Rhinolophus ferrumequinum: one gene and its partners. The protein of the gene in region 1 binds, or shares a complex with, the protein of each later gene. Links are inferred from orthologs where the notes say so. Each region holds a gene or a part of one and is shown in the gene's direction. Other genes may lie near its edges.

What was found.
Region 2: G3BP1 (region 1) and ELAVL4 share a complex: the UniProt entries of both Homo sapiens proteins name them as parts of the TAU mRNP complex. The link is inferred for Rhinolophus ferrumequinum from reciprocal best matches to the Homo sapiens genes G3BP1 and ELAVL4.
Region 3: the proteins of G3BP1 (region 1) and CAPRIN1 are in contact, whole or in part, in a crystal structure (PDB 8TH7), measured with the Homo sapiens proteins. The link is inferred for Rhinolophus ferrumequinum from reciprocal best matches to the Homo sapiens genes G3BP1 and CAPRIN1. Residues at the interface, in NP_005745.1 of Homo sapiens: Glu4, Lys5, Pro6, Ser7, Leu10, Val11, Glu14, Phe15, Arg17, Gln18, Thr21, Leu22, Met29, His31, Arg32, Phe33, Tyr34, Gly35, Lys36, Gln58, Lys59, His62, Leu114, Glu117, Asn122, Lys123, Phe124, Tyr125; in NP_005889.3 of Homo sapiens: Met363, Gln365, Met366, Gln367, Gly368, Pro369, Tyr370, Asn371, Phe372, Ile373, Gln374, Asp375, Ser376, Met377, Leu378.
Region 4: G3BP1 (region 1) and IGF2BP1 share a complex: the UniProt entries of both Homo sapiens proteins name them as parts of the TAU mRNP complex. The link is inferred for Rhinolophus ferrumequinum from reciprocal best matches to the Homo sapiens genes G3BP1 and IGF2BP1.

The regions. Positions count from the first base shown.
Region 1 is NC_046307.1:23,502,082-23,509,260, forward strand, and holds the start of G3BP1 (ras GTPase-activating protein-binding protein 1), read left to right. Parts: upstream 1-4,171; 5' UTR 4,172-4,213; coding exon 4,214-4,315; intron 4,316-7,179. UniProt on the Homo sapiens protein: Protein involved in various processes, such as stress granule formation and innate immunity. Plays an essential role in stress granule formation.
Region 2 is NC_046292.1:35,737,897-35,745,606, forward strand, and holds the start of ELAVL4 (ELAV-like protein 4), read left to right. Parts: upstream 1-4,704; 5' UTR 4,705-4,733; coding exon 4,734-4,850; intron 4,851-7,361; exon of another isoform or gene 7,362-7,646; coding exon of another isoform or gene 7,647-7,655; intron 7,656-7,710. UniProt on the Homo sapiens protein: RNA-binding protein that is involved in the post-transcriptional regulation of mRNAs. Plays a role in the regulation of mRNA stability, alternative splicing and translation.
Region 3 is NC_046294.1:23,801,675-23,808,733, reverse strand, and holds the start of CAPRIN1 (caprin-1), read left to right. Parts: upstream 1-4,046; 5' UTR 4,047-4,264; intron 4,265-4,843; coding exon 4,844-5,059; intron 5,060-7,059. UniProt on the Homo sapiens protein: mRNA-binding protein that acts as a regulator of mRNAs transport, translation and/or stability, and which is involved in neurogenesis, synaptic plasticity in neurons and cell proliferation and migration in multiple cell types.
Region 4 is NC_046304.1:34,183,704-34,191,577, reverse strand, and holds the start of IGF2BP1 (insulin-like growth factor 2 mRNA-binding protein 1), read left to right. Parts: upstream 1-4,855; 5' UTR 4,856-5,171; coding exon 5,172-5,346; intron 5,347-6,551; coding exon 6,552-6,612; intron 6,613-7,874. UniProt on the Homo sapiens protein: RNA-binding factor that recruits target transcripts to cytoplasmic protein-RNA complexes (mRNPs). This transcript 'caging' into mRNPs allows mRNA transport and transient storage.

The DNA.
Region 1 (7,179 bases):
AAATCATGTAGGATACAGAATGGAAACGAAGCCTTTCTCCTACCCTGGCTCAAGTTCACGTCCCTGTTAGCAATTGGCAGTTGCATGTGACTCCTTCCAGATATAATCTGTGCAAGTACACCAAAACCATATAGGAATGTATATAGATAGCTATAGCAACACAATATATCTTTATAGAAATAATCACCCATGGCGTCCCTCCTCCCTTTTTAACTGTTTCCATTATTCTGCACTTTGCTTTCTTTATATATTGGTACCTCTTGGAGATCACTCTATAACCATACACATAGATCAGCCTCATTTTCTCTGACAGTCCACTGTATTGTTTTTAACCAGTCCCATATAGTTTGACAGCTGGGTTATTTCCTGTCTCTTTCTACTACAAGCCGTACTGCAATGAATATTATTGTACTAGGTCTTTGTCACAGGTGGGAGTTTAACAGGTCAAGATACGCATACATACAGGCACAGGTTTTTAATCACCCTTCATGAGTGATTAGCTATGTGTGGGAAACACTGATCCAGATGCTATCCTTAGGATCATTCCTTACCAAACATTTCTACCACCCTTCCATTGCCCCCCACCAAACTGTATTTCTGGAGTCTTACCCAGGTTTCTTCCCACCCTGATTCTCAGAGCTTTGGGGAGAATTGGCAGAAAGAGAGGGTGAAGTAGTGTACTGAAGGGGTTCGCACATTTTGCTTGGCAGTGGAGAGAAAGACCAGTAGGAGGCTGGGACTCTCCCTTAGATGCTAAGATAACTAGACCCGGCTTTCTCAGCCCCTGCCCTATTGACTTTTTAGCCAGATAATCCTTTGTCATGGGGAGGGGGGATCTCAGCTGCATCCCTGGCCAGTGTCCACTAGATGCTAGCAGCCCCTCTTACCCACTTGTGACAAGGCCACATATATGTCTCTTGGGGGCAAAATCTCCCTTGAGAAAGCAAGTGCTCCAGACAATTCACTGGTGGTAAATTACTCACTGAACATTTACTAAATATCCAGCGTCTGGGTCCTGAGGGTTTATGATCTGAGTGGGTAAACGACCACAGGAAGATGCCAACTTCTCTGTCCTGTGGAGACAGCAACAGCCACCTGAAGGATCTTGTTCACATTCTCCCTCTGGTAATTCATTCCTCTTTCCTTCCCTCCTTTCTTTCTACCTCCCATTACCCGGCGAACACAGTCTCGTTGTAAAACTTTCAAATAATACATTATTCTCATTGCTCCCAACCTAGGGGATTCCCTAGGAGGAATGACTATTGTTTTAAATTTAAAACCCTTCCTCTGCACTTAGATACCTATTTTAACATGCAGAAATCAGTTTTGTTTTTTTGGTTTCGTTTTTACTAATATGAATGGGAATTCACTGTATGTTTTGTTGAACTTGATTTTTTGTCAATTAACAATCCAGTTAACAATCTGTATAGTTTGTACCTCATTCTTTTTTCAACTGCTGCATAGTGTTCTGTATTACGTGCATATCACCAGTTAATCAGTTTGCAAATTGATGAGCAATTAACGTTTTCAGTATTTAAATATTCTAACAAAGCTGACAGTACTGTAATGAACGCCCTGGTACATGCCTCTTTGTAAAAAAAATGTGGCTATCAACCAAGAAATAGGACATACATAATTTTAATAGACTGCCAAATAGCCTTACAAAAAGCTGTAATCACTTACAATTTCCTCCAAATGTAATTAAGAATAGCTTTGACCCCTCCCCCACCGCAGGCCACCTGGGTTAAATTACTAATCTGTGAATTTAAAGTTTCTCCAATCTGCTCTGATTAGCGTTTCAATTTGGAGAGTCATCTTGTAAAATGCAAATTTCTTAGTCCATCTTTAAGAGACCTTTCAGGAGCTTTTTTCCACTGCTCTGAGAATAAAGTTCAAGTTCCTTAGCATGGCTAACACGATCCTTAAGTTTCCTTCCTTCAGAAAACCTTTTGCAGCTTCCTGGTCTGGACTGAGTTCTCTCCGGTGTGTTCAGTCCCACACACCTGTTCCCCGGTTTTGGGAGCTACCGGCCCAGCGCAGCGCCCGGTCTGTTGAATGGGTGACAGCGAGCAGGGACAGCGTCTTGCTCACCCCTGATCGCAGCCCTTGGATCTCAATAAATGCTGAAAGAGCGCGGCCGCTGCGGGAGTGGGGTCCGGGGAGGACGGGCGGGTAGAGGGACGCTTTCCCCGCGTTTCCGGGGCCAACGAGGAGAATAGGGATGAGCCCAGATGCCACCAGGCGGCTGCCCACACCCCTTCTTTCCCTACAAAGACGCTCCACGTGCTTCATTTCCAAATTTCTCAGCAAAACTTAACGGGAACCCCTCCCGCAGGGTCACATTCCTAGAATAAGAACTGACCGAGGCGTGTCTATGTATTTCCATATAAAATGCTCATGGTGACCAACAGAGGGCCCAAGAAAACACTGAGTGAGACGTGGACAGGACCAGGCTGGAGCGTCACTCAGCCCCCGAACTGTTTCGGGAAATCTTCAGGGTGTCCCTATAGGAGTTTGACAAGTTACCTTTTAAAGATGGGAACAACTTCAAGAAATAAGCCTCCACGCCCACAGCGATTAGAAAACTGAATGACAATGGTGGTGACGCACAGGATGTTGCATCGAGGCCCAAACTGATAGGACAACTTACAAACTACTGTCCCTCGGCAAAAACTAAAAGGGAAAACCTCAGTGAACATCCACCAGCCAACCTTCCGGTCGACCTGCAGCAGCAGCATTTGCCCAGAACCGCAGGGCAGAAATTTGTGTTCTCCAACTCAACAGTTTCACGTGCTACTTTTTACAAGATCTTAGGAACACAACAGGAGTTACTTTCTCCTTTGGCTTTCCCTTAACAGTTGCCCAACGATAGTGCTGACTAACGGTGAGAGCCAGCAAATGCCCTTAAGCATGGAAATAAAGTTAGCAGAAACAAACAAACAACGGGAAACTTTACCACTTGGTTTCCCTCGTATCAAACTGTGCAGAAAAGGCGGGACAGAGGCCTCAGCGGCCGAACCCAACCAGCGAGGGAACGCCAAGAGGAGAGCGGGGACCAGGAGAGCCTCAGACCCGCACCAGAGGGCACCGCGGCCCTGGGGCTCCGTCTCCTTGGTGCAGTCCAACCCTCGCGTCAATCAGCTCCTTCTCGCGTTGCGATTGGTCGGGGGCCTCCTTGGCCTCCCTGGCGCCCACCTCCTAGCTGCTTGGGGTTTACTTCCCCAAAGTACACGGGCCCCACCTTGTGGAGCAACCGCTCCTGCATTGGAAAACGGATCTCCGCCCAGGGGAAGACGTTTAAACGAATAGGAGCGGCCCCATGCATTTATTGGCTACTCTGGGTATCAGTTAAAGAACTTCCCACCCCCTTTTCCACTGTACCTTGAAGTAATTGGTCTCTCTCTGTGCCAATCTGTTACTAGGGAAACGAGATCCTCATAGTCTCATAGGCATGAGTCAAAGCCAATCAAGAGCCACGCCTTCATCCTGAGTCAGTGCCCAATTGCTGCTCGAGGAGCCCAGAGGACGCAGTCGGGATTGGTCATCAGCCTGCCCGACCTGGCCGCAACAAGTTAGGCTGAATGGCATATATATAGACCGGCGACGGAGCACGCGTGTGTGCGGACGCAGTTGCGTGAGGGGCTTTTGCCTTGTGTCGTTCTGTGGAGCAAAGCTTGTTCCTCCCCGGCTCAGCCGCGCAGGTACGCCGGGGTGTGGGCGGGGCGGGGCGGCCCTGGGTCGAGGACGAGCTGGGGCTGTTGTGAGAGGGAGAGGTCCGAGCGGCGCTCGCGCGAGGCGCGCCCTCGCCCTCCCCCCCCAACGGACGCAGGCGGCCGCACGGGCGCGCGGAGGCTCTCCGCCCCCCGGCGGGCGCGCGTGGCCGTGTCCGCCGCGTGCGCGTGCCGCGCCCAACGGCCACGTGGGGCGAGAGCGAGCTGCGGCCGCCGCCCCGGGCCCCAGGGCGATCTCGGGGGCCTGGGGCCCCGCGCGGCCGGTTGGCCAGCCTTTCCCGCTCGCTCCCCCACCCACGGGCCAGTTGAGTTTTTCCTCCCCGGCGTGGAGCTTTAGCTTGACCCGGACGAAAGAAGGTTTTTATGGGGGGGGGAGGGGGCCACACGAAAGTGCGATAAGAATTTTCGACCGGGGAAGTAGAAGTGTGGTTCCAGGGTTTTGCAGGCAGTGAAAGGGGGTGCAGCGAGTGCATGGGTAATGAATGATGATAATAACTCACATTTTTCGAAGCCCTTATTGTGTGCCAGGCATTGTGCTGGGCAACTTGTGTGCCTCTCATTTACTCCCACGACGACCCTGCAAGGTAGGTTCCCTCAGTTTACAGCGGACTCAGAGGCCCAGAGGTGGAGTGACATGGTCACAGGCAGACGGACGGTAAGGGGCAGGTATTTGTTTTAACCCAGGCCACCTGACTCCTAGTCCCCGAGCCTATTTTAGTCTTTGTTCCAGCGCCCTGTGCGGCCCTAGGGCACTTTGGCCCCCAGAGTACTCGTCCCAGGGGACAACATCAGCCTCTAAAGGCCAACTGCTGCGAAGACTGCAGTGGCATTTGTACTTGAGCCAGTTCATGGGCTTCCAGGGAGACGAGTTGGACGTGCGATTAAGACAAAGGAAAAGAAATGGTTTGGGCTTCCTTTGTACGTGTCTTCGCGTAGCTAGCTGACGGATGTGCTGCCCTAGAAGCTTCTGGATAAAGGACAGAATAAAAGGAATAAGTGCCAGTGAACACGGGCAGTGTTCCTCGTCCGATGTGCGACTCACAGCACGCTGATGGGAAATTCCCACCAGCAGGAAGTTAGGCGCTGCTGGTACTAGACCTTGAATCAGTTGTCTTCGTTTTTCCATCGGAGCCGACTTTTGAGAAAGCCCTTGGAGAACCTAGTTTAACTTCCTTGTTTTGTAGTTGAAGAAAATGAGGTTTCAGAGCAATGCGTTTCAGATCTCAGCAGCGTGTGTAGGTTAATGTTTGAAATTGGAATGGAAAGGCTAGTGCTCAGTTACAGTATAGAGCGGAGCTTATGGGAGGTGAATTACAGGTGGGTGATGGAGATGTGTTGGGAATCTTACCTTTCTGGCAGTGGGGTTGGTCTGTGGATGAATGCCTGTCTACGTTCAGTTCATTTATCTAGCATTTATTTACTCCTAGGCTCCTGTGTATGAGTGTATGGAAACGTGGAAGACACCTCCAAAGACTTGGGTTTATCTTTTTCTAGTAGAGTTACGTTTTAGATTTTTAAAAGCCAGTATACTCTTTGGCTTAATGAAAGAACAAAAAATGTTGCCGTGTTGCAGGCCCAGGTCATTACTTGACGTGACACATGTCTCTACTTGAGATAAAACTACAATGAAAGTTTTGGGACAAACTCTTCTGAATTAATTTTGATTGGAATGGCTTTCCACCTTTTAAAAAAAGGCATCTGTTTTGTTTGTACAAACGCTTTTTCGGATAGCTCTTGATTTACAGTCAGAGAACACAAAATTTAAAAACTGAGGAACCTTAATATGTGTTTCCATTTACTTAATAGTTTCCATGTTTAACAGAAAGTAACAAGAAAGGATTGAAATATTGTATAGACAAGTTCTTTACCTATAATAGGTGACAATGCTGTAAGAATATAACATTGTTTCACTTGAACTTGCCTTCCTGTAGCAATTTCAGTTACCTGCACTTAGACACCCCTTATCTATCGAATTAGAATTTTTAGTTATCAAATGTGAAAACATAATGATTACATTGAAACTCTTAACTTTGAGTCCAGCTAATTTTATTACTGCTTGAGGTAAAATGTATCACTGAAATTATCTTGTGCATTAATTGTGGGAAATTTTTATTTTGCCTTTCAAATGTTTCTTAAAAAAACCCAAAAACCCAAAAACTGTTCTTGGCCTCAAGCAAATACATGGTTATCAATTGAACAGGAATATGAAAACTGGTAGTTCACAAATTGGTAGCCCAGCTGATCTCTTCTTGTGCTTTCATTTATTAAGAACAAATGAATTGAAGCAAATTGTGATAATAAAAGACTTGGGTGCCTCCCTGCTCCCCAGCCAAGTTAGAGGTTACTTTTGTTGTTAAATCCTTTCAATCTAAGCTTTTGTACCTCTTCCAACTGGTAGAAAAGTAGGCAGTTCTTTGTTCTTTATTTAACTCACATTCACTTTGCTGTTCTCAGCTGACAGTCTGCTAGGGAACATCAGGAGATTGGTAATGTTTGTTGGTGACCTACTTTGCAGCAGTTTTTTGTAATTTACATTTTTTTTTTACTTGTTTTAGGGCTTTGCATAGAAAGTAAAAGGCAGAGATTAGTTTTAAATTATTATAGGTTTGTGAATTTTATGTGGTTCTTAGGAGGATGGATGGGGCAATGTTTAATTAAATGATGAAATTTAATACAAAGCCAGAATTTGTGATCTAAACCAGTTTTTAATTTTTTTTTGCCAGTTTAATAAAATTACCCATGTGATCTTCAACATTTTGCAGTTAGACTGGTTTTTAAAAAATAACATTTCAGAATGTAAATATGCATTGTATATTCATTTAATTGAACATAATGCTTTGGACAAAACTTGTTGACTTTACTGAGGGAGATAATTGTCAAAGTAGGTAGGTTAAAAAAACTGCTTTTTTTCCCACCCTCTGGCTAGTCAGTTGTTAACATCTAGTGGCAAAACCTTTAGTGCAAAGCAACACTGTCCTTCCAGCCATGGAGTTAAATTTAGATTCAGCAACTGTAATCTCACTTGTGGTTGCTGTTCACACTGTAACAGTTAACTAGATTTATGGTTTTACATCTCAATCAGCTTTCTGTTTACTCAAAAAAATTTTTTATTTTTAAGTACTCTTGGACACCCTGCCTCACCTTGGTTGGGAAAGCTAAATTGGAAGCCAGGTGAGAGATGGTGAAGAATGGGCTTTATAAAGTAGAAAGTAGATAATAAATATCTCTCATAGGCTGTGGCCTTAGTAAATAAGGTCTTTAGGTGACTACATGGGATGGATTTCCTCTTCTGTCCACGGCCCACGCGTCATATTTTATAATATTGCTTAGGTGTTAGCTTGTGTGCTATATTTCAGGTATTTAGTAAAAAGTAAATGTTAGAGATGGTTCAGAGGAAGAAAACTGGCTTTCTGGTTGGGACACACTTCTGTTTTGTAGGGATATTAAT
Region 2 (7,710 bases), on another chromosome or scaffold:
GAGGAAGTAGGAAGTGAGGCTGGGAACTCGATCCTGCCTTCTAAGATGTTTTGCTTTCCAGCTTTAATCCTCTGTATCTCTCTCACTCCAAATTTACAGCCAGGTCATAATGATAGACTAAATGAGATACTTTGGGGGACATGCCTAGTTGATAGAACATCATAAAGAAGTCTCTTGGTCATTTTTAGTTGAGAAAAAAATTGAGTCTTCCGTCCTCCCTTTCGTTTCTCTTCTAATCTGTGCCTATCTTCCTCACTCATTCAACAGATATTTACTAAGCATATTTGTCATGCAGGGTGGCCTGCGGGGCCTCTGGTCCCGCTACCCACATAAGAACGCAGGATATGGCGAGGCCAAAAAGGAACCCCCACGGAGCCATAGGTAGGGGAGTCATACCACTATATTCTCTCTGGCGGCCAGGCCAGACACACGCAGTAATAGCCACATGATCTGCAGTCCGCCATTCACTTCTCTGCCTGCCAACCAACCAACCTATCAACGCAGCCCCGCAGTTACATCAGTAGCCAATTGGCTAACCGGTTTCAGCTGATGGCCAACCAATCACAGTTGATGGTCATCCACTATCCAAGTAAGCACCTCCCCACACAAGGCCGAGAGCCTGGAAACTGCTCTCCGGGACTCTGTCCACACAATATTCTTCCACAAAATGATGGGGAAAGATCTCACTTTTAGATAAGGAAGATACCTTTCTAGAAAAATGCTTAGATATAACAATTGTCTCTACCATGAAGTTGTATAAAATTGTACATGTCAAGTGCCTGGTGCAGTGTTTGGTATACAGCAGACTTCTGGTAAAAGATAGCAGCTTTTATTTGCACTTTGTAAGTCCTATTATTTCTTTATTTCTTCTTGTCCTCCCTCTCCTCGCCTCCCCTTTACATTTCCCTCCTTCTACAAATAACCTTCCTTGCTTTTTACAATACATCTATTTCTTTATTCGTAGTTACAGATTATAAATGAGTCCAGAATTTCTTTTAATTCTATATTAAATTATTTTCAAAATTATTAAGCTGGTTTCACACTATATCCTTTAATGGTATGAGTACCTACTCCACACTTCATCTGCTCAGTGACCTTTGATTGGTAAAGATTTATTTATACTAGGGTCCCTTGTTTGTTTCTTTTCTTTTAAAAAAATTTTAGTAAAGCTCATCTGAAGTGAAAGACCCCCCAAATCCCTTCATGCAAGGATCTTCAGAAATCTCTGTGTGTCACACAGTGACCCTGCTGAGTTTTCTTGGGCTTTGAGGAAGGCTATGTCAGGGGAAAGTCCAGATAGGGACTCCACCGAAATTAGATTTCTTGAGTAAGTGTGCATTTACCTTTTTCAGAATTTACTAACAATAAGTCAGTTTTTCCATCCTTTAAATTTTCTTTCCCAGGAAGACACCCTATTGCTTTACAACTGTGGTCAAAGGTATGTTGATTCTGGAAAGAAACCTGCTTTCAGCTGCTGTTCTAGCATAAGGCGTAGTGGTATGGAAAAAAAAAAACGCAAGAAGATCAAGTGTGAACGACTCCTAGGTTAGCTAACCTGCACAGGTGAATTCTTGGCAATTTAAGTGGACTAGACAGCCATTTGTCTACATTTCCCCCTCACAGTAGCATTCTTCTAGCTCTTTCCCACAATCCACAGTAGGCAAAACTACTTAAGAAAGAGGAAGGCATCACACTGTCAGGTCATCTATCTCTAAGAGTGCTTCAGCAGTGAATCCCTAATCCTTCGAGTAGACTCCATGTCAGTCTGGTGCATCTTTCTTGTCTCTGGGGTATGTTTGCATTTTCCTATAAAATTTGATTTAATGTTTCTACAGGAAAACAAAAAAGACAAAACCAGCACCACAATTCACCAAAGGGAAATTATGATTTAAATTTTATCCAAAGTTCTTAAATATGGTATACCACTCTCTGGGCATGATGATTGTATTTTCCCTAAAGGAAGAAATGCCAGCAGTTTAGGTTTATCTTTCAAAGGAAGAGGAGAGGATAAAAAGAAATTGAACCACAGGAAAATGTCAGGTCATAGTATTTAAATTGTGTGCCATAATCATATTAGGGCAGAGCACATGGAATTCCTGATCTGTGCATGGCACTGAAGAAGGACCAGCAATTATCTGTGTGTGTGTGTGTGTGTGTGTGTGTGTGTGTGTGTGTGTGTTTGCTCTACCTTCCCACCCCATTTTGCTAATTCAATTGAGGAGCAAGAAGAGGTAATCCAGATACCCAGAACAGGAGGAGAAGGTCTGCAGCTGTGCTTAGAGGAACTGGTGTGAAGAGAGAGGCTCAGTCTGACTTGGAGTTTTGTGCTATTGCATGTGAATGCTCTGGAACTGCCCTAATCGACTGAAAATGAGCCGGCTACAGTCATATGGAACAGGTCTGTTTAGCCACATCTCTGGGTAGCATGGCAGATGGTAGACCGTCAATGGGTGGTATTGATTGGCTGGATTTGCCTTAGGGTAGCAAGACTATGGGTCCTTAAAAACCCGCTTCATCTTATTTTCCTTTATGCAGCTACGTTCAGTTGTGGTTTTCTTTTTTTACTCCCCACCCCCAGCCCCCAGTATCTCCTTTTCTCCCTTTTCAAATCAAAAACCTTCCTTGGTAATCAAAACAGAGAGGTTACCTTGAGATAAACACTCTTTAAATTATCACCAAGGCAAGAAAACTTGAGAATATTTTATTTACTAGGCTGATTACATTTTAATGTTTGAAGAAAGTGACATTTTTTAATTAGTGTTTAAGACATATGGTGAGTGTACAAATTAGCTTATTGCATACAACCAGAATTTGATGTGAGCAACTCCTCCTTCTCACTCCCCAGTTAAAAACTGTCACTTGAAACTTAATATATGCGAGGAGGTTAAATGGTATTAAGTGATTCAGCCTTGACTTAAAGATGAAGGAGACAGTCACTGTTGTGTGTGGCTAAATGTTGCTTGGATAGGCTGGAAAAATACTAATCTCAACATCCGTGTTTGCAAGAGGATGTGGAAATTCCAGGGCTTTAATTTTGTTCAGCCAAGAAAGCAAAATCCCAGGTATCTGTATGCATTGGTTTCTCTTTTAGATACGAGGAAACGTAGAATGGTGCTTGCATGCTCTGTGAGTAATAAAATTCTCCTTAAAAATCAGGCCTTGTAACAAAATAAGTGATGAGATTTATTTTTGTTCAGGTGGTTCTTAATCTTTTAGCATCCCCGTCCATCACTTAGGGCTTTCAGCTTGGGACCTTCTATTTATTCCTGGCAGAAGAGCAGATTAATTGGAATAGAATAATACAAAGGAGACACCAAGTTAGCTATACATCCAAAATAGTATACGAAAGAAATGTTCCACTTCAAAGCAGATCAGCACTAGGGGGAAAAGAACAGCACTGGGGAGAAATATGTGATTAGTTTACTCTTCTGGTTGTTTATAACTATTTGTATAATTGTGTTTTTAAAAGAGATGCTTAAGATTTGTTTTTGTATTTGTTTTTCAGTGTCTTTACTCTTAAGCGTTTGGTTATTTCCTATCATGAAAGACCATATCAAATAAACTTAATGTTTTGCTCAGAAGAAAAGTTACACTCTTGCCTCCATTTTGTATGTGCTTCGTCCATATGCATATTTTTGAATTGAGTTTTTATCACATGAGTCAATATTTCTCTGTTTTTGCTAAAGGAAAATATTCCTGTGGAGTTTTTGGTATCCCCCCTTACTCTGTGTTGGTTGGATTTTTCCTTGTTCATCCTTTGCTGAATGAAACAAAGCTTGTTTGTGTTTCATTCTGCACAGTTCTTATTATTATTATAGAATTGATGATGGTATTTTGTTTTGTTGTTTTGTTGCTATAAGTCAGGAGAAGAAATTTTATTTATTTATTTTGACAACATACAGAGAAAGAGACATGACAAGATGCCTGTTAGGATGCTGGCGTTTCTCATGTCACATCCTATACCCAAAAGCTATTCCAAGGGGGAACAAAAATCAGTCTTTTAAGATGGTTCATTTGAATCTGTGCACTCTACCCACCTGGTGGTTATATAGTGAACTGTTACTTTAAAGAGTAGTTTAAACACCAGCCATGTTTGGGGCAGGCTGCTCTTGCAAAGAGAGCAGTACATATAACAGGAGTCTACTGTGTGTGAGATAAGGGGAAAATTCAGCTCACTGACTAGAGGTTTTAATGTGCAAACTCTAGGGAAATAATATATTGACTGTTCCGTGGCGCGCAAGAAAATTGAAGAACCCTTTGCAGACGGAGTGCTTTGCAAAGGATTCTATCTGTTTCTCTTAAAACAAAATCTGTGGCAAGATGTTTGAAATCAGCAGGACGCTTAATGCTGCTTTGTTAAATAATGAGGTAATATTTTGTCACTTTTTTCTGGGCAGCATCTGTTTTTGTTTTTTTTTTCCTTTCTTTTCCTTCGCTTCATTTCTCCCCCCGTGTTTATGAAGGATTCTCTTTTTTTCTATTCCTTTTTTTTTTTTTTCCCTCATGGAAGTCAAGGAAATACAATTCACGCTTCCATTTCTGTTCCTTCCTTTCGGTGCTTTTGGAAAATTTGGTTGTCTTTTTTATTTGCAGTTTCAGCCGGCTGCTGTTTCCTAGCCCATTGTGCCCTGTAAGGCTTCTCCACTGCGTGGAGTAGGTAGTTATTAACGCTGAATTGGCTTCTGGTACAGTCCATCTGGACTCTGTGTGGGAAAGCTGGCTGCCGGCGACTGATGCTGAGATATCTGCAACCTTTGGGATGTGTGCATGGTGGCGAGGGGCTGACTGATATGAGATTACTTCTTTTAAGGGAAATTGTTATTAATGAGTCAAGAAACTGCTCATTTATGGTAAGAGGGATACAGCGGCACTGGCAGCCCCATAGCTCTGGGATATCATTTTTAGGTTGCCTTCGCTGCTTGAGTGAGACAAGTTTCTTTCTGTGGTGGTAGAGGATTGTGGCGGAAAAAAAAAAATCATGCATGACTGGGAGACTCGCCTGCCTGATTTTTGAGATAATATATTGAGAATCTGTTGCTTTACAAATGTCACACCACTGATGTAGCGGTCAGCCCCTCACTCTGAAAGATGAATGGTACTATTGGAAATGCAATAATAAGGTTGACTTTTCCCAACAATAGGATTCTGCCTTTGTCTTTAGAGAAAAGGCCTCTGAGGACATTTGTGCATTTGTCTGAGGATTCTGTTGAAAGACTTTAGAGTGGAGGTTTTGGGAGAAGTGATCAATATACAAAGTACATGGATTTTTTTAGCCTAGCAAAACCAGCTAATTATTTATACTGTAATATGCAGTTCCTATTTTGGAAAAGTGGCCAGAGTATCTTTTGGTATACCTGTTAATTTATGTCTTACCGAGTGGGCTGAGGTTAGTATGGATAGGAGAAAAGAATTTAAAAAAATTGTGACTTTTATAACCTCCAGAGAAATACAAATTAAATACAAAGTGAAAATCCAAGCCAGCTGTTTTTATTTGTGTTTGTCAGCATTGTGTTCATGTTTACTTTTCACAATATTTTGATGTTGGTGAAATCACATTCAGAGTTTCTGTTGTTGATTTTGAGCACCTGTACCTGCCCTGTGTGCGTATGTTAAGCTCTTGAGCACACTTAACCTGGGAATTCATCCTTAGTACACAGTTCAATAGATATTATAGTACTGTTGTGACTCACAGGACTCTATACATTTACTAAAGAAATTATTTTAAAAGTTTACTTAATTTAGTATTGTTCCACTTAAAGGAATTTATATAGTCTTAATATTTCCACTTTTATATTTCCTGTGTTTTTGTTTCTAATATCTGAGTTTATTTGTATTCAAATCTAATAGTTCATATAGTGTACCTCACACATATTGTTTTGTGGTGTATCTGTATTTTAAAAAGTGTGTGTACATATGTGTATGTATGTGTCCATGCTTGTAGAGCATAGTTTTAATTTTTAGAAATGCAAAAGTTATTTTCTTTTCTAATAATTTTTCACAGACCCATTTATTCTTGGACTTTGAAGCCCAGAGTGTAGCATGGTTTTTGGCCTGTATTTCTACTTTGCTTAGTCCCATCTCACTGTCAACTCCAGCCAAAGATTAAAGATTATGTTGAATTATGTCTTTAGTAATATTTGTTACCTCTGTGTATTTATTGAGGAACAAATTGATTAAGTTATGAATTATATAAATAGTGATAAGTTAGCTTTTTGGATAGAAGTAAAGCACAAACGCCTCAGGTAAGCCACTTAAAAAACTGAAACCAGAACAAAAAACTGTATAATCAAAGACTTGGTAGAGTAGAGGTTATGAAATGTATAGCATACACAGACTGTATACATCACCACACACTTGCTAAATGTCTCCATGCAAGTCTTTTAGGAGGCCAAAGAAGAAAGACATCGTTTGAAGGACAGAAGCAAAATCACGTGTTCAGTTAAGCAAGATGAGCACTCTGCACTGGTTATGAAATGAGGCTGTGTCAAAAGCATGTTATACCTTTCTCTAGAGCAGTAGGGAAAGCAAAGAGAGAATGTGTTTTGGTGGATTTTTAAAAATTCAGATCATGCCACTATCCAAGTTGAGAAATAAGTTCATTTAAATAAATCATTCATCATTCTCTGTTTTGAAAAGCTTAGACAGACGACAGAAAGGTAGAGGCTGACAGCTGCCCTCCTCCTCCCCCCACCAGCTTTTTTCTTTTTTGTTTATTAGGAAATAGTTTTCTGAAGCAAACTTGTATGAACCTAGTTCCCGGAGCAAGCACAATCTCAAACTTGCTTTCTTTTGAAACACTGTCCATGTTAGCTGCAGGACGAGCATAACTTACTAAAAATCAGCAATATTGGGAAATAATAAAGTTAAAATGTGGATGTATTAGCACATTAAAGTGCTTTTGTTGTATCTTTAAGCCTAGAGGCAGATCATTAAATATGCATTTCGCTAGAAAGCAACCATCGAGAAAGATGAGGTGGTTGAAAATATTCTAGTTGGGAAAAGCCCTCTGTCAGAGGGCTGGGGTGGTGCAGCCCTCTGGACAGGGAAAACGGAGGACACTCCCACTGTTAAGATTTGCAAGCCACCAGTGACCTGCAGTTGTTATAGTACTTTTGAGCTGGGAGGAGGGAAGAGGTAAAAATACAAGTATGGCTGTTGTTGCTTCAGCCTGGCCTTAATTACCAGACACAAGAAGCAGTTCAGAAATCTGGTCTCTGTTGTTGTAGAGGTCACCAAATCATTAACATCGTCAATCTGGCAGTAGCTAATTTAAATAGCACCTGATGTTGCAACGCCTCCCTTCGTTTCCCCAGCCAATCAGATCTTGGCTTTGGCTGACAGATGGTCCCATAAATGGATGTAAAAAGGGGAAGCTTCGAGCCAATTTCAGCAAGGCTCTGTTCAGTTGTTCTTATCTACATCCTAGAATCGGGGGTTTCAGCTCAGTGCTCCTTTTCTTTCTTTTTTTTTTTCTCTCTCCCCCTCATCCCCCCAAAATAGTTGATTTACTTTACAACCATCCACACTGTGTTTTGTGGATCTTTAAAAATATATAATAGTACTCATTTAAAAATATATATTCCGAAACCTTGCAAATTTTAAGAGAAGAGTCGAAGCTCTGCGAGACCCAATATTTGCCAATAAGAATGGTTATGGTAGGTATGACTAGATTTATAATCTGTTGTTTGTGTTGCTGGAGGGAAGAAAAGC
Region 3 (7,059 bases), on another chromosome or scaffold:
TCTAATAACTGAGCCAGCACCTTTCCACGTGAGGCCGAGAGCCTGGAAACTGCTCTCTGGGACTCTGTCCCCACAACTATTCTGGACATATTGTACCTCTACAAAATAGGAAGCGTATTTCTAAGCATAATGTTATAATTAAGGTGGACATAAGAAAATATAACTGGAAAAGAATGTTACCTCAGCTGATAACCACAATGTAAAAGGGAAAGAGTCAGTATGGACCAATAATAATAATAATCCCACAGTTATGTAAATATAGGCAGTATTGACGAAACATTTGTGCCAGGCATATTATTGCTTCTGATGATACAGAGATGCAAACAAAACAGCTGTTTTTTTCCCCTTGAAAAGCTCAGTCTGATGGTGGCTCATAAACACATAAATTATGACATTACCATAAAAAAGGGAGCACTGGAAAAATTATGATAGAAATGTTTACTACTGAGTTGTAAAATAACTGAAAAACAAGAGTCTTAGCTGTGTGAACAGTGTACGTAGTTCACATATAGGCCAGGTTTTTGCCACTCTGATGCAGAAAGGCAGTTCATGTAATTTAGGTGAAAGTTCCCTTCTTTTGCTACAAATAAGCTTGGTATTAGCTTATTGGGTGATTCAAGTTGAAGCAGCTGAACTGTTTTGCCAAAATGATCCGGATAAGCAGTTCAATTATTCACTTCACTTGACTGTGGAGACTTCAGATTGCTGTTGTCTAATGAATTAAAAAAGTGAATGTCAGCTTGGGGGAGATTTGTGTTATTAAAATATATTAATATTGGGTATAACTTTAACACCAAGGTTTTTGGAGAAAGTGTTTTCTGTTTATAGACATATCCTGCTCTCTCACTGGCTTGCTGGGGAAACTATAATTTTTCTATTTCTTCAGTAATATAATAACCCCAAGTACTACAGGGCTTTGGATTAGAAAAAAAAGGTTTAAAAAAGACAGTCAAGTATTAAAAATTTACATAAATACAGCTTCAGTCCCCTTTTTGTCAGGTAGGAAATAGACAAATTTGGTTTGCTGGGACTGTGGCATTAGGCTGGGCAAAACGTTGCTTTGTCTTCAATCTAGTGGTGTTACTGGACTTGCTGACCTGAACAAACAATTACAAGAATGTCAGAACAGCAAGGGAATGGAATTGGGATGACGTAGGAGGTGACAGCATGATAGGTATGTATGTTTACTAAATATTTCTGGTTCAGCTGGCTTCCTACCAGGCATCTGATTAGAATAGCATCTCTCCAGTTGATGGGGGTCATGTGACTCTTCCTGGCCAATGAGGAGTAAGCACACATGACACAAGCTGACCTGTGTGTAGTATTTGACTATTCCAGGTACTCTGGAGTTTTTTTCCTTATGGCATAGTAATCGGCAACACGAGGTATGGTTTCTCCATCAACCTGAATGTACTGAGAGACCACTATGACCAGAGCCCTCTGCTGAACCATGACGGATATGTATCATTTGTTTTAAGCTAGGGATTGGCAAACTTCTGTAAAGAATGAGACAGTATTTTAGGTTTTGCACATCATTCTGTTAACTACTCAATTCTGCTCTCCTGTGGCACGAAAATGGCCATAATATGTACATGAATGGATGTGCCTGTATCCCAAAAAAACTTACAAAAACGGAGGGCACTTGGCCCAGGGACTAGTTTGCAAATCTAAGTCACAGAGCTTTCAAGATTGTTACTGCAGCATAACCTAGCCTATCTTGATATACTGTGAGCTGTGAGATGGACCCCCAAATGAGATTCTTGGTTATCTGTGTTGTCATCGATCCTGCTCTGCTCCCTCTCAACAATTTACTTTCTTGAAACGTCCAACTTAGCTGACCATGAATCTCTATGCTTTGTAACTGCCACTGCATAATGTGCCAAGGAAAGGCAGAAGAGGCCTTTCCTTCTCTCTCACACCTTATCATAAGCCCTCTTCGGTTCAAACCTGTATCATCAGAAGCTTCCAAGTCATTGGTTCCCACACTTCAGCATGCATCAGAATCCCTGGCTGGCTTAACACACAGATTGCTGGGCTACACAACACCCCCAGTTTGATTTTGTAGGTGGGGAGAGAATTTGCGAGCTAGAGAATTTCACGTCTGATCTTAAAGACACTGGTCAAGTTCTAAGGAATGAGTGATTTCCCTCCTCCTTCCCCCCCCCAACTTCAGGGTACATATAAATCAACTGAGGAACTTATTAAAATGCAGATTCAGTAGGTCTGGGGTGCGGCCTGAGATTTTGATAGTGATAACAGGCTGAGTACACCAAAAGTTTCGAGGAGCTAAAGGATTCTGACCGTCCTTTTTAGCTTCGAGGTTTGCATAGGGTTCAGTATAGTGCTAAGCACAGTTCAGGTGCTTAAATCTTGAATAATCTTAGGTCAACTTTGACTTCTCTCACACCTAACATACAACTGGTTAGCAAATTCTGTTGGTTCTACTGTCACAACATATAAAGTATCCAGCTACCTGTCACCACCTTTACGGTAACACCCTGACGTTGGCCACCACTATCTCTGGGCTGTATTATTTCAACAGCCTCCAAATTGGCCTCCCAGGCCTGCTGTTGCTCCACCCTACATCTCACCTTTGATACACACTTACTATAAATTCTTTATACAGTAGCAAGAGGATATTTTAAAACACAGGTTCATCACAGGTTACTCCTCTGCTTAAAACTATGCATGCAGTGATTCCCCATTTCACTCAGCAAATTACAATGGCCTATCAGGCTTGACAAGACTTGGCCCTCTTTTATGTCTTTGATGTCTCCTAGTACTCTGTTCTAGCCACTGTTGCCTCCTTTCTGTTCCTTGAACTCACCAAGAACACTCTCCTCTCAGATCCTGGCACTTGGTGGTCCCTCTACCTGGAAAATTCTTCCTCACTTCTTTCAGTCTTAGCTCAAGTGTCACTCGGTAAGGTTTTTCCTGACCACCCTGTTTTATTGTCTCTACCACTTCACTATCTGACATGTATTTACTTCTCTCCACGTGGAATGTAAAATCCATGAAGATATTTTGTTCACAATCCCTAGCACTAAAGAGTTTTTTTAACAGAGTAAGGTGCTCAATAAATATTTAAATGAATTGATAACAGATTTTGCAGCTAACTGAAATATCTTGAGGCTACAGTTGTTTCTTTAGGTTCCCTCAAGACACACTGTTGCCAGCTAGCATTACTCATTTTATTCTCCAAGGAACAGTGGGTTTGGTAGAATCCTCTTCTAAATTCCTTTTTCATGGAATTTAAGTTATAAATCGGTCATTTACTTTTGTCATACATTATATTACTGAATTTCCACTGATTATATTCCTCTTTATACATTTCCTTCCAGCACTTGGCGTCTTATTTTGTGTTCATTGTCCACACCCACAACCACCCTGCCCCTGGGTTAATTACAAGGCTGGAATAATTCTCTTGGAGGAAAAAAAATGTTTTGTATTTCACTCAACATTTTCTTAAAAGTTTTAGGTAAATCTAAAAGAAAAACTTCTCATTCGAAATACTCAGGCCTTTTGGATAAATATCTTCTTAAGGCAGTTGACGATTATTTTTAAGGAGTCTGGAGTTTTAAGTCTTTTATAAAGCCACCCATCTTGCTCATTTCCAACGCGTTCTACAGCGAACTCCTAGGTTACTGGGTGATTGTTTTGTGGGGGAAGTTGTCTTTTTTCAAAAGACCTTTTGGGATGTGGGGGCTTGCTTGCTCTGCATACAGAAGAAATTCTAAGAGCTGGGATTGCACCACCCACACCACGCACCCCTTGCTTGCAGAAACCTTTGCCCCTCCTTCTACACAAGGCAGTCTTCAGCTTCAGATCCAGCTGTTTGACACCTATTGTCCCCGTTTGGACGCCAAGCAATTTTGCCTGAAGGACCCTAGCTTCGACTTCGTTGAAAACTCCAGGCACCGCTCAGGCAGCTTCCCCGGGGCTGTTCCGACCTGCGCCGAGCGGCAGCGCCCAACGGCGGGGGCTTGGGCAAGGTGGGTAGGAGGCCGAGAGAGCCCTTTCCCACAGGCGTTCGCGCCGGGCAGCCCGAGAAGCCGCGAAGGTCCCCGCCCGCTGCTTCCTCCACCCCCTCTGCCCCAGAGTGCTGGCTGGCTAAGTCCCTCCCGCTCCCGGCTCTCCGCCTCACTAGCAGCGGCTCTCGGTGCAGCGGGGACAGGGCGAAGCGGCCTGCGCCCACGGAACGTACCGCCACCCTTGCCCCCTCAGTCGCCCACTCGGGATCTCCAGCAGCCTCCGCGTGCGCACGGTGAGCGCCACCCCGGACCGAGGCGCTGAACGGGAAGAGGGCTGCTGCCCCGAGAGTCCTTTACCTCCGGATCGGCTGGACCTTTGCGAGGGGCTTGCTCCTCAAGTCTCTCCCCATCCCACCCCGTCCCCTGCGGTCATTTCCAGTGCCCTTCTCCACCCTCCTCTGCCTCTTAAGCCCCGACCTCTCTCTTTCCTCCCTTCCCTGGAAGGCGACAGTACCTACAGGCCCTCCCTGGTGGAAACCGTTGCACTGGCCGTTGGCCGGCGCAGCGAAGCCCCGCCCCCGGCGCGAGCCTCGGTGCCCTGGGGCGGGTAGGCCAAACCGGTGGCCCTCGCGGGGGAGGGGCGGGGCGGGGGGCGGCGCGAGGCCGGGCCGGGCGCCCCGCTGGCGGGTCGCGAGCGCGCCGGCCGTCCCTTCCTGTCCTCGCGGCGCGCGCGGCCTCACCCCCACCCCCACCCGCTCGCTCAGGCTCCCGCCCGCTGCGCGTTTTGTCCCGCGTCTCGCTCCGTCCGCCGCCTGACTCGCCGCTCTTGTCCTTTCTCCCGCTTTTTTCTTCTCTCCCCTTACGGTCTAAAGATGCCCTCGGCCACCAGCCACAGCGGAAGCGGCAGCAAGTCGTCCGGACCGCCACCCCCGTCGGGTTCCTCCGGGAGTGAGGTGGCGGCGGGGGCCGGGGCCGCTGCGCCGGCATCTCAGCACCCCGCAACCGGCACCGGCGCTGTCCAGACTGAGGCCATGAAGCAGATTCTCGGGGTGATCGACAAGAAACTTCGGAACCTGGAGAAGAAAAAGGTGCCAGGAGTTGGCGGGGAAGGAAGGGTTTGCTGTTATGACACTGCCTGTAGCCTTCACTGTTTCGGCCTCCGGCGCTTCCCCTCCCCCCCCACGTTCGGTGTCCACAGTAAACCGAGCTTCGTGCCCAGAAAACGGGCTCCTAGGGGAGGTGCTTGTCACCTGACCCGGACGCGGCGCTGCCCCCCCCCCCCCCCGGTCCTCTTGATTACTGTCCCCCTGCTGTGGGCCAGGCCTTTTGGCCTTTTGGAGTGGGATGTGTAAGGGTGGGGACCTGTCCTGTCGCCAGATTTCAGTGTGATGCCTTCTCTCCGTTACCAAGGCACGAGTTCTTTGACTCGGGCCAGCGGGGAGAAACGAGGTCCTGCTGTAGGGGCTCAGGGCTCAACGGGGTGCCTCGTGGAGCTGGGGCGGCCTACGTCCTCTAGCCGTGGGGTTTGTCCCCTCCGTTACCGTGCACTTGAGGCCTGTTCAGTGCCTCTCTCCTCTCCCTTGGGAAAGAAATGTGTTTAGGATCTTAAACTAGAATTGCTTCTCTATAAAGCGCCATTCGAGTCGGTCTTCGATTTGCTCCCCGCATTTGATGGTCTCCCCTCCGTTTCCTTCTTTGTTTCAATTGTCTAGCTGTCTTCTGAGCCTCACGCTCACCTCGATCCCAAGAAGGTTTTCTTCAGCGGCTTTTTGTCCCCTGAGGACCAAAAGACGGATGGGAGGGAGACTGCACCGATTGAGATTCACTGGGGGGTGGGTCTGGGTTAGACCGAGGGCGATCGCTGGGTTTCTGGGCACATGGAGAGAGCGACTAACATGGCGGCGGCTGCGGGGAGAGGGAAGCGCTTTACAGGAGCTGCATTGTGAGCACAAAGCGAAAGCAGAGGGGGAGGGCAGATAGCAGGCAGCCGCCAGGACTGGCTTCCCTCGCCCCCCTCCAAAAAAAAAATCAAAAAAAAAAAATCGAGCCACACCCACAATATTTTGGATTAAATATTTAGCCATTCTAGGTCACCTCATGAGGTTTGTCTTCAAGTTGGCCTTTTGTTTTATGCTTTCAGCCCAGGACAGTGTATCAACTCTGTTTTCGAGGGACACGTGTGTATGTGTGTGTATGTATGTATGTGTAGAAAAAGGGTCTTGGCTGAGCAATTCAACCTTCAGTAAGATTGGAGGTGGAAAAGGAGAAACAAATCACAAATGAGGTAATTGTATCAGCGACTATTATGCAAACTTTTGTCTCTTACCTTAAAAAGAAAAATAATAACTTTCATTTGATAACTTCTGCTTGTCCGCTGCTAGTAAAACATACTACATCTTGAATTTTGGAGGAAGTCATTTAAAAATATTTCCATCTAATAGTATTACTTAAGATTTTGGGGTGGTAACTGTTTGGCTAAAATTTTGGGCTGTGGGAAATAACTTGAAGGAAACGGTTGATGTTTAGATCTTAATTATTTGAATTGCTCATTTAATGATTAATTTTACATTTTTTTGGAGTTTTTTTTAGATTGGATGCTTCTCTGTCTCATCTGCTTCTGTATTGGGAATTTTACTTGAATTTCCTGGACTTTATTTGAAATTGAGAGACGCTCTCTGTGGATTTCTACCTTTTTTCTGATCCTTTATTTTGATAAACAAGTGTGGTTTATTATAAGTGATTTAAATAATAGATGTATCAGTATCAACAAGGCAACAAAAGTATTTTAATTGTGGAGTAGCTACATTCACATATGTAATAGAATAAATTTAGCCAACACCACTATCTCCTGAGTCTGCCATCTAATTTAGTTTTTACTACTCTATATGAAATTGAAAGTTAAGTATCATTTAAAAAAAATCTAATGCAATAAACCTGTCAATCTTGTTGATGCTTGAATGGTTTAACTTTCAGAATTCCTAGGAAATCTGTTTTCTCCTAGGATAGGAATCAGAAGATAAATATTAATGATGTAACATTTTAGGTATAGACATTTTAATTAGACATTTATATTTTAATAACTGAAAAA
Region 4 (7,874 bases), on another chromosome or scaffold:
CTAACAAACTTAATTTGGAAACATCCATTTTTTTAAAGTTTATAAAATAAACTACTCCTTTTATTATCTAAAAATTTCTACCTTGCAAACCTAAGCCAAAACAAAAAAATTGAGCAGTTTTGTCACACACACTGTGTGACCCATAGAAAAACAAATGATTGTTCTTAAAGTTCTTTTTTCTCCTTGAACCTCTTCTATTTCTGGAATACACACATTTCTTTGTAAGATTTTAAACATTAAACACTTTTGAATGATACTTTGAAAGAGGAAGTTGTCCTTTTCTGCTGCTTATAATTTTCTTATATTTTATGGGTTATCTTAGGCACATAATTATCCTTATTTATTTGACAGGAGAAAATGCTACATGTGCTTTTAAATTTTGACTATTTTACAGTTTTTCAAAATTTATAGTCATCTAAAAGAACCACATTAAAACTTCAAGTTGCAGGAAGAAACAAAATATCCCAGGGCAACAACAATGAAAAAAACAAGCAAACAACAAAATAAAAACCAAGCAAACAAAAAACAAATTCCTCTTAAAACTTTGAAGTCAGAACAGTTCTCAGGAAATGATAATTTTTATTTTTGTATATTTTATAGAAACTATAATTTCATTTAAAAATTATGGTTCATTAGAAAAATAGAAAAAATTCAATTTTAATGTATTTCCCTTCTAACTGCTTACCAATTGTTTTGTGTCCTTTCTTTTGTAAAACAGGCTAAACTTTTAAAATAGAAAGTCATTGATAAATGTTAGATTTGAAATGCAATATATATTCTGGGGATTTATCCATAGGAGCTAATCTAAAAGGAAAAAGTTATATGCCCCCCAAATCTATTCAGTTCCACTCAGAAAAGTAAAAAATTTGATGTAACATATATTTTAAAATAACAATGATTAACTTACACCTCCTGAAATGAATGCTACATGTTTGTTAAAAATGATAGTTATGAAAACTTTGAGGCAGCATGGGAAAATGCTTATGGTACAACAGCAAGGAAAAAATTAAGATATAAAAATAAGTAGACAAAATAGAAAATATTACAAATCGACAAATATTGGAAAGAAACATTTAAAAAATAAAAGTGAATTTTTATGACTGGTGGAATTGTTGATTTTTTCCACTTTATATTTCCAATTAAAAATGTTATTTCATTCTCTTAAATGTTTTTGTCTCTCTGCGTGTGTTTGTATATTCACATTGAAGGAAAATGGATCAGAATCCCATCTTTAAAATGGAGTCAAGGTTCAGGGTTTCTGAATTCAGAGGAAAATTCAATTCTGCAACTAGACCAAACAAGTCTCCAGGAAAAATGAAAGAGAACAAGAAGTATAGCATAATAATTAATAATTGATAATAATATTAATTACATAAATTATTATTAAAGAAAACAATGTATCCTGCAGCTGTATTTTTAACTCTTACAAACTAAATTTAACTGATTAATTTTTCCCAAAGAAGCTGTGTAGAAAAAAAAAAATTGAAAACAAATGCAATGTTTATTAGTTATCCGTAATTAAAAAAAAAGGATGATTAATCATGGGGTCCTAAGTCTGCTCATTCCTATCCCTAACCTAGGAATGTGAGTCTTGAGAAAAATAACCCTTCTCTCAGGTTAATTTTAGTGCTGGGCTCACTCAGAAGGGAGAGTTGAAGCACCAATCACCATCACTCAGTCCCCCCAACTCCAGCCTAAAATAGCCAGGTCACTGAGACAAAACTGATTTGGGGGCTGAAAAGGTCTGCATCTCACCCCAGCTGTCTCCTCTCTCTTGTGTTCTTGCAGCCTCTGACTATACACAGAAGCCCTTGGTGGGGGAGGGGGGGTGGATTAGAATTCAGTGAAACAGCTGATTTTTAAAACGCATCAGTTTCAATTTAGCAATGGTTGGTAAAATTTTAATTTTATACATTTACATTTTCTTCTCCACAGTCATTTTTATAAACTAATTCCAGTTCACATTTAGGCTTACATATTTTTAAATGGAAAAAAAATCAACCTAAAAGTGAACTGAATTCAATTATTACTTTAAAAAATTTTGTTTCCCTTTGATTCTAAGATAGGCAAAGGTGGACTGCATTTTAGAGGTCTGGATGTAGATTTTTGTGCGGTGTAACATGTTTTTGTTTTAGGAATGAAGAGATAGAGTAGTGGTTATGTCCCCCAGGGAGAAAACCTGAGAGGTGCTTCTATTAATTCCTTAAGATTTAAATTAAATGAAGGAAATAGCACGTCAAGTTTCTGGGAATGGAACGCCCTGCCTAGTACAATCTTTCTTGTTCCCCAATATAGCAGAAAAGATTGAAGGAGAGTGGGGCTCCTATTTAGGGAAAGGCCAAGGAATACAACAGCCTTTCTGAGACTATCTTTTAGCCCTTTCAAAAGTCCACACACAACACCAAGAAAAGTCCCCAGGCAACAGACCCACACATTCTGGCCAAGATAATTTTTTCCCCTTGACTCTTAATTTTCCTCTGAATTCAATTTGCTCTGCAGTTTGTATTAGCTCGTTTTCATTTACAAAATGTTTATTGAATGCCTACTATGTGGCAGGTACCGATTCCAGCTCGTTGGATTTAAAATTATGTTTATGGTCAAGAGCTCATAGAAACAGGGGAGGGTCGGAGTGGGGGGTGGGATACAGATGTCGCCCACCTTCTTGGATAGACTTTTTCCTCTTAGCAACTAATAGCATGTAGTATTTTAATTTCTGTTGCCCCATGGAAAGAAAAAGATCGCAAACAAAAATGCGACAAACACGTGGCTGGCTAGAACAAAACGCGGATTTGGAGGGTCGGTTTTGAAGGTGGTGGAGACGGAGACACCGAGTCGGAAGCCCTCCCCCGCCCCTACGCCCAAACCCATTTCTTTGCAGCGCGCGGGGAAAACCGGGAGGGGGACAAAGGTGCGGCATGTCGTCTTTTAACTCCCGACTTTTCGAACGGTATAGAATCGTCTGGCAGAAGAGCGGTGCTCCCAAGTCGGAGTCAACTCACTGACTCTGCAAACAAATAAGAAAAAAACCCAAGGCATTCATATCGGTGCAGCCAACACGTGTTGCAGAGTCGGCTCGGGCCGCAGGCGACTGAGACAATGGGGTCGGGGACCGGGAAAGGGAGAGTGACCCCCTTTCTCACCTGCCCTCGCAGCTCGCGTGCCCCCGACAGAAAGCTTTCTCCCTCCCGCAGAACCCGGAGGAAAACCCGAGCTTCCGCCTAGTTCAGGGAGCTTCTGGCAATACTGAGGGTCCACCCCCTCTTTCCCTGGTTCCCTGGCCAAAGGGGCTCCAGGGTCCCCGGGTCGCGCTCTCCGACACCCCCTGGCGCCGTCCCAGCCCCAGGCGCTGGAAACTCGTCGGCCTGGCTGGTCCCCCGGCCCAGGATCCCGGTGGCGCGTGGAACGCAGATCCCGTTCTCTGCCGCGTATCCTGGACTCCGAAACGCGCGGCGAACTGCCCCCTCCCCCACCGCCGAGACGGGGTGCGACCGCCCACGTGTCGCCCCTTGCCCAGTCGGGTTCGTCCCTCGGGCTCTCCGGGCCGGAGGATCCGGAACGAGTTGGTCAAAGGCGAGGGAAGGGACCTGGGCGGATCCGCTTCCCCTCCCCAGGAACAGGCGGGGGGCGGACCACCGCCCCCTCCTCTAAGCTCCCGCCCCTCGCTTCCCTAGCGCCGAGCGGAAACTACCCCCTCCCCCCGCGGGTCTGACCTGGGGACGGGGGCGGGGCTTAGCGCTCGGCCCCCTGCTCTTGGCTCCTCTCCCGCCTTCCCGCCTGGATTCCGATCCTGCGCCCCAAACAAAGTTCCGAGACCCCAACCCAACGCGGGGAAAGCTGCTGTCGCTGTCCTGGGTGGAGCGGGCGGAGGGGACTCCACCTGTCCGTCCCCGCGTCGGGGCGGGAGAAGGGGACCATTCGGATCTCCACCCGGTCACTCCCTCGCTGAGACCTATCCCTTCGGTTCGCCCGGGTCTGCTCACGCTACCACTCCTTGTCCTTCTCTCCACCCTTCCCTCTCGCGGGGTCTTCCTGGGCCGGAGCCACCGGTTCCCCCAGGACCCCAAAACCTTTTCGTTCAGCAGTGGAACCTTGGGTGTTAATTTCTTTCGCCCGTGGGAATCCCGAAACCTGATTTCCTGTGGATCCCTCGTTCCCAACCGCGATCCCCCGTGTTCCCAGCCTCCCGGTCCCGCGCTTTCAGGGACCCTCGGTCCTGGGTTCCCGGAGGCGAGGGAGTCTCCCAGGGCTGGGGCAGGGAAGGCCGAGACCCCCCCCCCCACTTAAAAATCCAGGAAAAGGCGCCTTTCTTTCTAAATCGCTGGTTCGCGCGACCCCCTCCTGAAGACCCCAGAGTCCTCGGCTTCTCTTTGTCTATCTCCGCCGTCCCCCGCCTGTCAGTCGCTAGCAGTTAACCATGGTAGGGTGGGCAAACCCCCCCACCCACCACAGGAATAAAAAAATAACCGTACATTTTATCCATAAAGAGGTGGGAGATTCTGGGCCCGACCACCCTCCCCCAGCCAGGGCTGGGGTATGAGGATGAGTGGGGGCGGGGCGCCTCCCTAGGGGCCAGATTCATGCAAAGGGGGAGGGGGCAAGTGAAGCTTCGGGAACGCAGCCCCCCACCCGCCGCCCAGTTGACTCAGGGGGTGAGTTGAGTGCCCCCCACCTCCGGCGGGAGATTGGTGGGCTGGGCCGGGCTGGAGGGCCTAAGGTTCCGGAGGCGTCGGGGGTCTTCCCCTGCAGGGTGGGTGGGGGCTTTCACCACGTGGCTTCGCCTTTTTTTTTTTTTCCGCTCCATTTTTTTTTTTTTTCAAGTCGATTTTATTTAGAGGCGGCGCCAGGGCGGCCGCGGAGAAACGTGACACACCAGCCCGCTCAGAGGGGTTTCGGACAGAAGGAAAGAAGCAGTGCCGCGTCGTCCACCTCCCAGCGCGCCGCGGGCACTTCTCCCGGGCCTCTCGAACTCCTCCGCGACCTCTGCGCGCCCTCTGGCCGCCCTTCGCGCCCCCGGCTCCGGACAACTTCAGGGGTGGGGTGCAAAGAAAGTTTGCGGCTGTCGCCGCCGGCCGCCCGCCCGCCTCTTGGCCTAGGAGGCTCTCCGCCCGCGCCCGCCCCCGCCCTCTCGCTCGGCCTTGCTAGGGACCGCGTCCCGCCCCGAACCCGCCACCATGAACAAGCTTTACATCGGCAACCTAAACGAGAGCGTGACCCCCGCCGACTTGGAGAAAGTGTTTGCGGAGCACAAGATCTCCTACAGCGGCCAGTTCTTGGTCAAATCCGGCTATGCTTTCGTGGACTGCCCCGACGAGCACTGGGCGATGAAGGCCATCGAAACTTTCTCGGGTAAGAGTGCTCCCACCTCCCCGAGAAACCACGACGAAATCCCCGAACAACGGAGACCTGCGCTTCTCTTTTCCGTGCCCGCCAACTGTGCTCTCCCACCGGCCTGCGGGGCTTGGCTTCAGGACCCACCCATCACCCACCTCCTTCGACGCCCCCACCCTACCCCACTCTCCATCCCTACCCCCACTCTTTCATGCCTACCCCCACTCCCTCACCCCTACCGCGCCGTGGAAATATTCGGCGTTTCCTCACCCCTTCCTCCCAGTCTCTGGAGGCTTTAGTAGGGTCGTCCCGTGACCCCTCCCGAAGGGGCGGGAGCCCCAGTGGCAGTAATGGGGGGGCGCCACTGAGGCGACCCCCGTCTGGGCGTTATTTTCACGTCGGCCCCTCGCCATCCGCGCCTGGACGCCTTCTCCACCCCATGAGCACCCCTGGCTACCCTTCCTTCGCCTTAGGCCTTTCCAGGCAGGGAAGGGGGCCCCACTTCATTTGCTATCTCCCGGGTTTCCGTGGGGACTGCAGCCTTCGGGCCCGACTTGAGAGAGGGGGTCCCGCTTCCCGCCCAGGCCCTGTAGGTTGAGCCATTTTGATTTGAAAGTGGGGCGTGAGCGGGTGGCGCGGTGGCAGCGGCGGCGGGTCGCCATGCTGCTTCCCGAGACGCGAGGCTGGGCGGGGAGGCGCGCGCCGCGGCCGCCAGGGACCCTCCCAGCGGTCCGGGCTTCGCTCCCCAGGGCTTCACCTCCCGACCGGCCCGACAGGTGACCGCCAGGTCGCCCGAAGCCCTCTTCTTTGGCTTGACGGAAAAATAGTTTCGTTTAGTACCCCCACACCCAACACACTTTGGGAGAAACAGGGGCCCTTTCTCGGCCCTTCTCCCCACATCTGGGAGCCGTGTAGGCAACCCGCCCACACAGACGTCCTCACACTCCTCCCAAATCCAGCTCCCAGAGCGATCCATGACCCAATTAGCCCCAGTGAGGCAACAGAACAAAATAAAAATTAAGAAAACACAATAATGAGTTTACAGACTCCACCATTCTCAGAGCGACCTTTTCGCATCCGGCTGCGAAATCCACTGCCTGGATTCCTAGGAAGGTCTCAAATCCCAGTAACTCCTGAATTACCCTAATGTCTTTCTCCTTCCTTTTCCCGCTCCCCACCCCTGTTCAAGCTCTTATATTGCCCCCCCCCTTTTTAATCTTTAGGGAAAGTAGAACTGCAAGGAAAACGCCTAGAGATTGAACACTCCGTCCCCAAAAAACAAAGGTAGGAAAGAGCTCTTCTCTGGGGAGGGGGACAGCCTGGGGGCCCTAAGAGGCTGTGTCCTGGGGTCCATAGTGTCTCCAGTGGAAGAAACCCATTTCTGGCCTTCCCACCCCCAACTCCGGATGTTGGGGGCAGGGAGGGAAGATTGGCTAAGATCTTGTAATGGGTGGTTTACAGCTTGTAAAAAAAAATAAGCTGGGCCTGGGGTGGGCTAAGAAATCTTACTTGGAAAAGTAAACTGGGAAAAAATAGGGGAGAAGCCTTGTGGAGTTTGATTGAAGTGTGAGGGGCCATTTTTGTGGGGAAGCTAAAAGTCTCCAAGAGTTTAGACTCATGGACATTTTTGCAACTTCCTAGCAGGCCTCATTTTCTGATTTTCTGTTTCTTCCCACCCTTCCCTTATCATAATTTTTAAGTGGATGTGGGGGGTCCCCTTTGACTCCCTTGGGGAGGTAGAATGAGTTCCTGCTCCCAAAAGAATTCTCTTATGCTTGTGTTTTATTTACATAATATTTCTGCAACAGGCAAGGACACTAGTATTTTCAGACTCCTACCCCCAGCCCCTCATATCCCACATCCTCCCCTCCCAACTGGATTTTGCAAAGAATATGCTTTGGCTGTACTATCCTTTCTGAGCCCCCACCCCCTTTCAGTCCATTGTTACAAGGGGACCATCTGGGGTGAGAGCTTTGTGTTCAGGCTGTGAGCTGGGGCTCTTTGGAGGGTCTAGAACTTCCTAGATGAGTGGGTGTGTGTGTGTGTGTGTGTGTGTGTGTGTGTGTGTGTGTGTGTGTGTGTGTGTGTGTTTGTGTGTCTCTCTCTGTCTCCGTGTGCCAGTACTATCCTCACTTCAGCAAAGTGGGGTACCTCTGTCATATCCCCAAATCTAATTCATGGTGGATTTCAAATCTTTTCATTGAACTCTGGCTGGGAAGTATAAGGGCAGAGTATTTCTGCTTTCTGAAATCTGACTTTAAATGTGTTGACAGTGCACTTTCCTCTCACGTTGCAGCCCCCAGTAAATCTTTGATTCTCTCACTCCCCTACTCCCCTCATTTCAACTGGAAACTTGCTGCATTTCAGAACAGTCCTTGGCTTTTCTGAGTGGGAAGGTGGAGGTGGGTGGCTGTGCCTTTTGGAGGCAGTTAAGAGGATCTAGAAAGTTTAACAGGAGGAAAAATCTAAATCTATTTGTTCTGTGGTTTAGCTTGAGATGTTTAACTTGGAACTATTGTATCTATAGATGATCAATATGGCTTGTA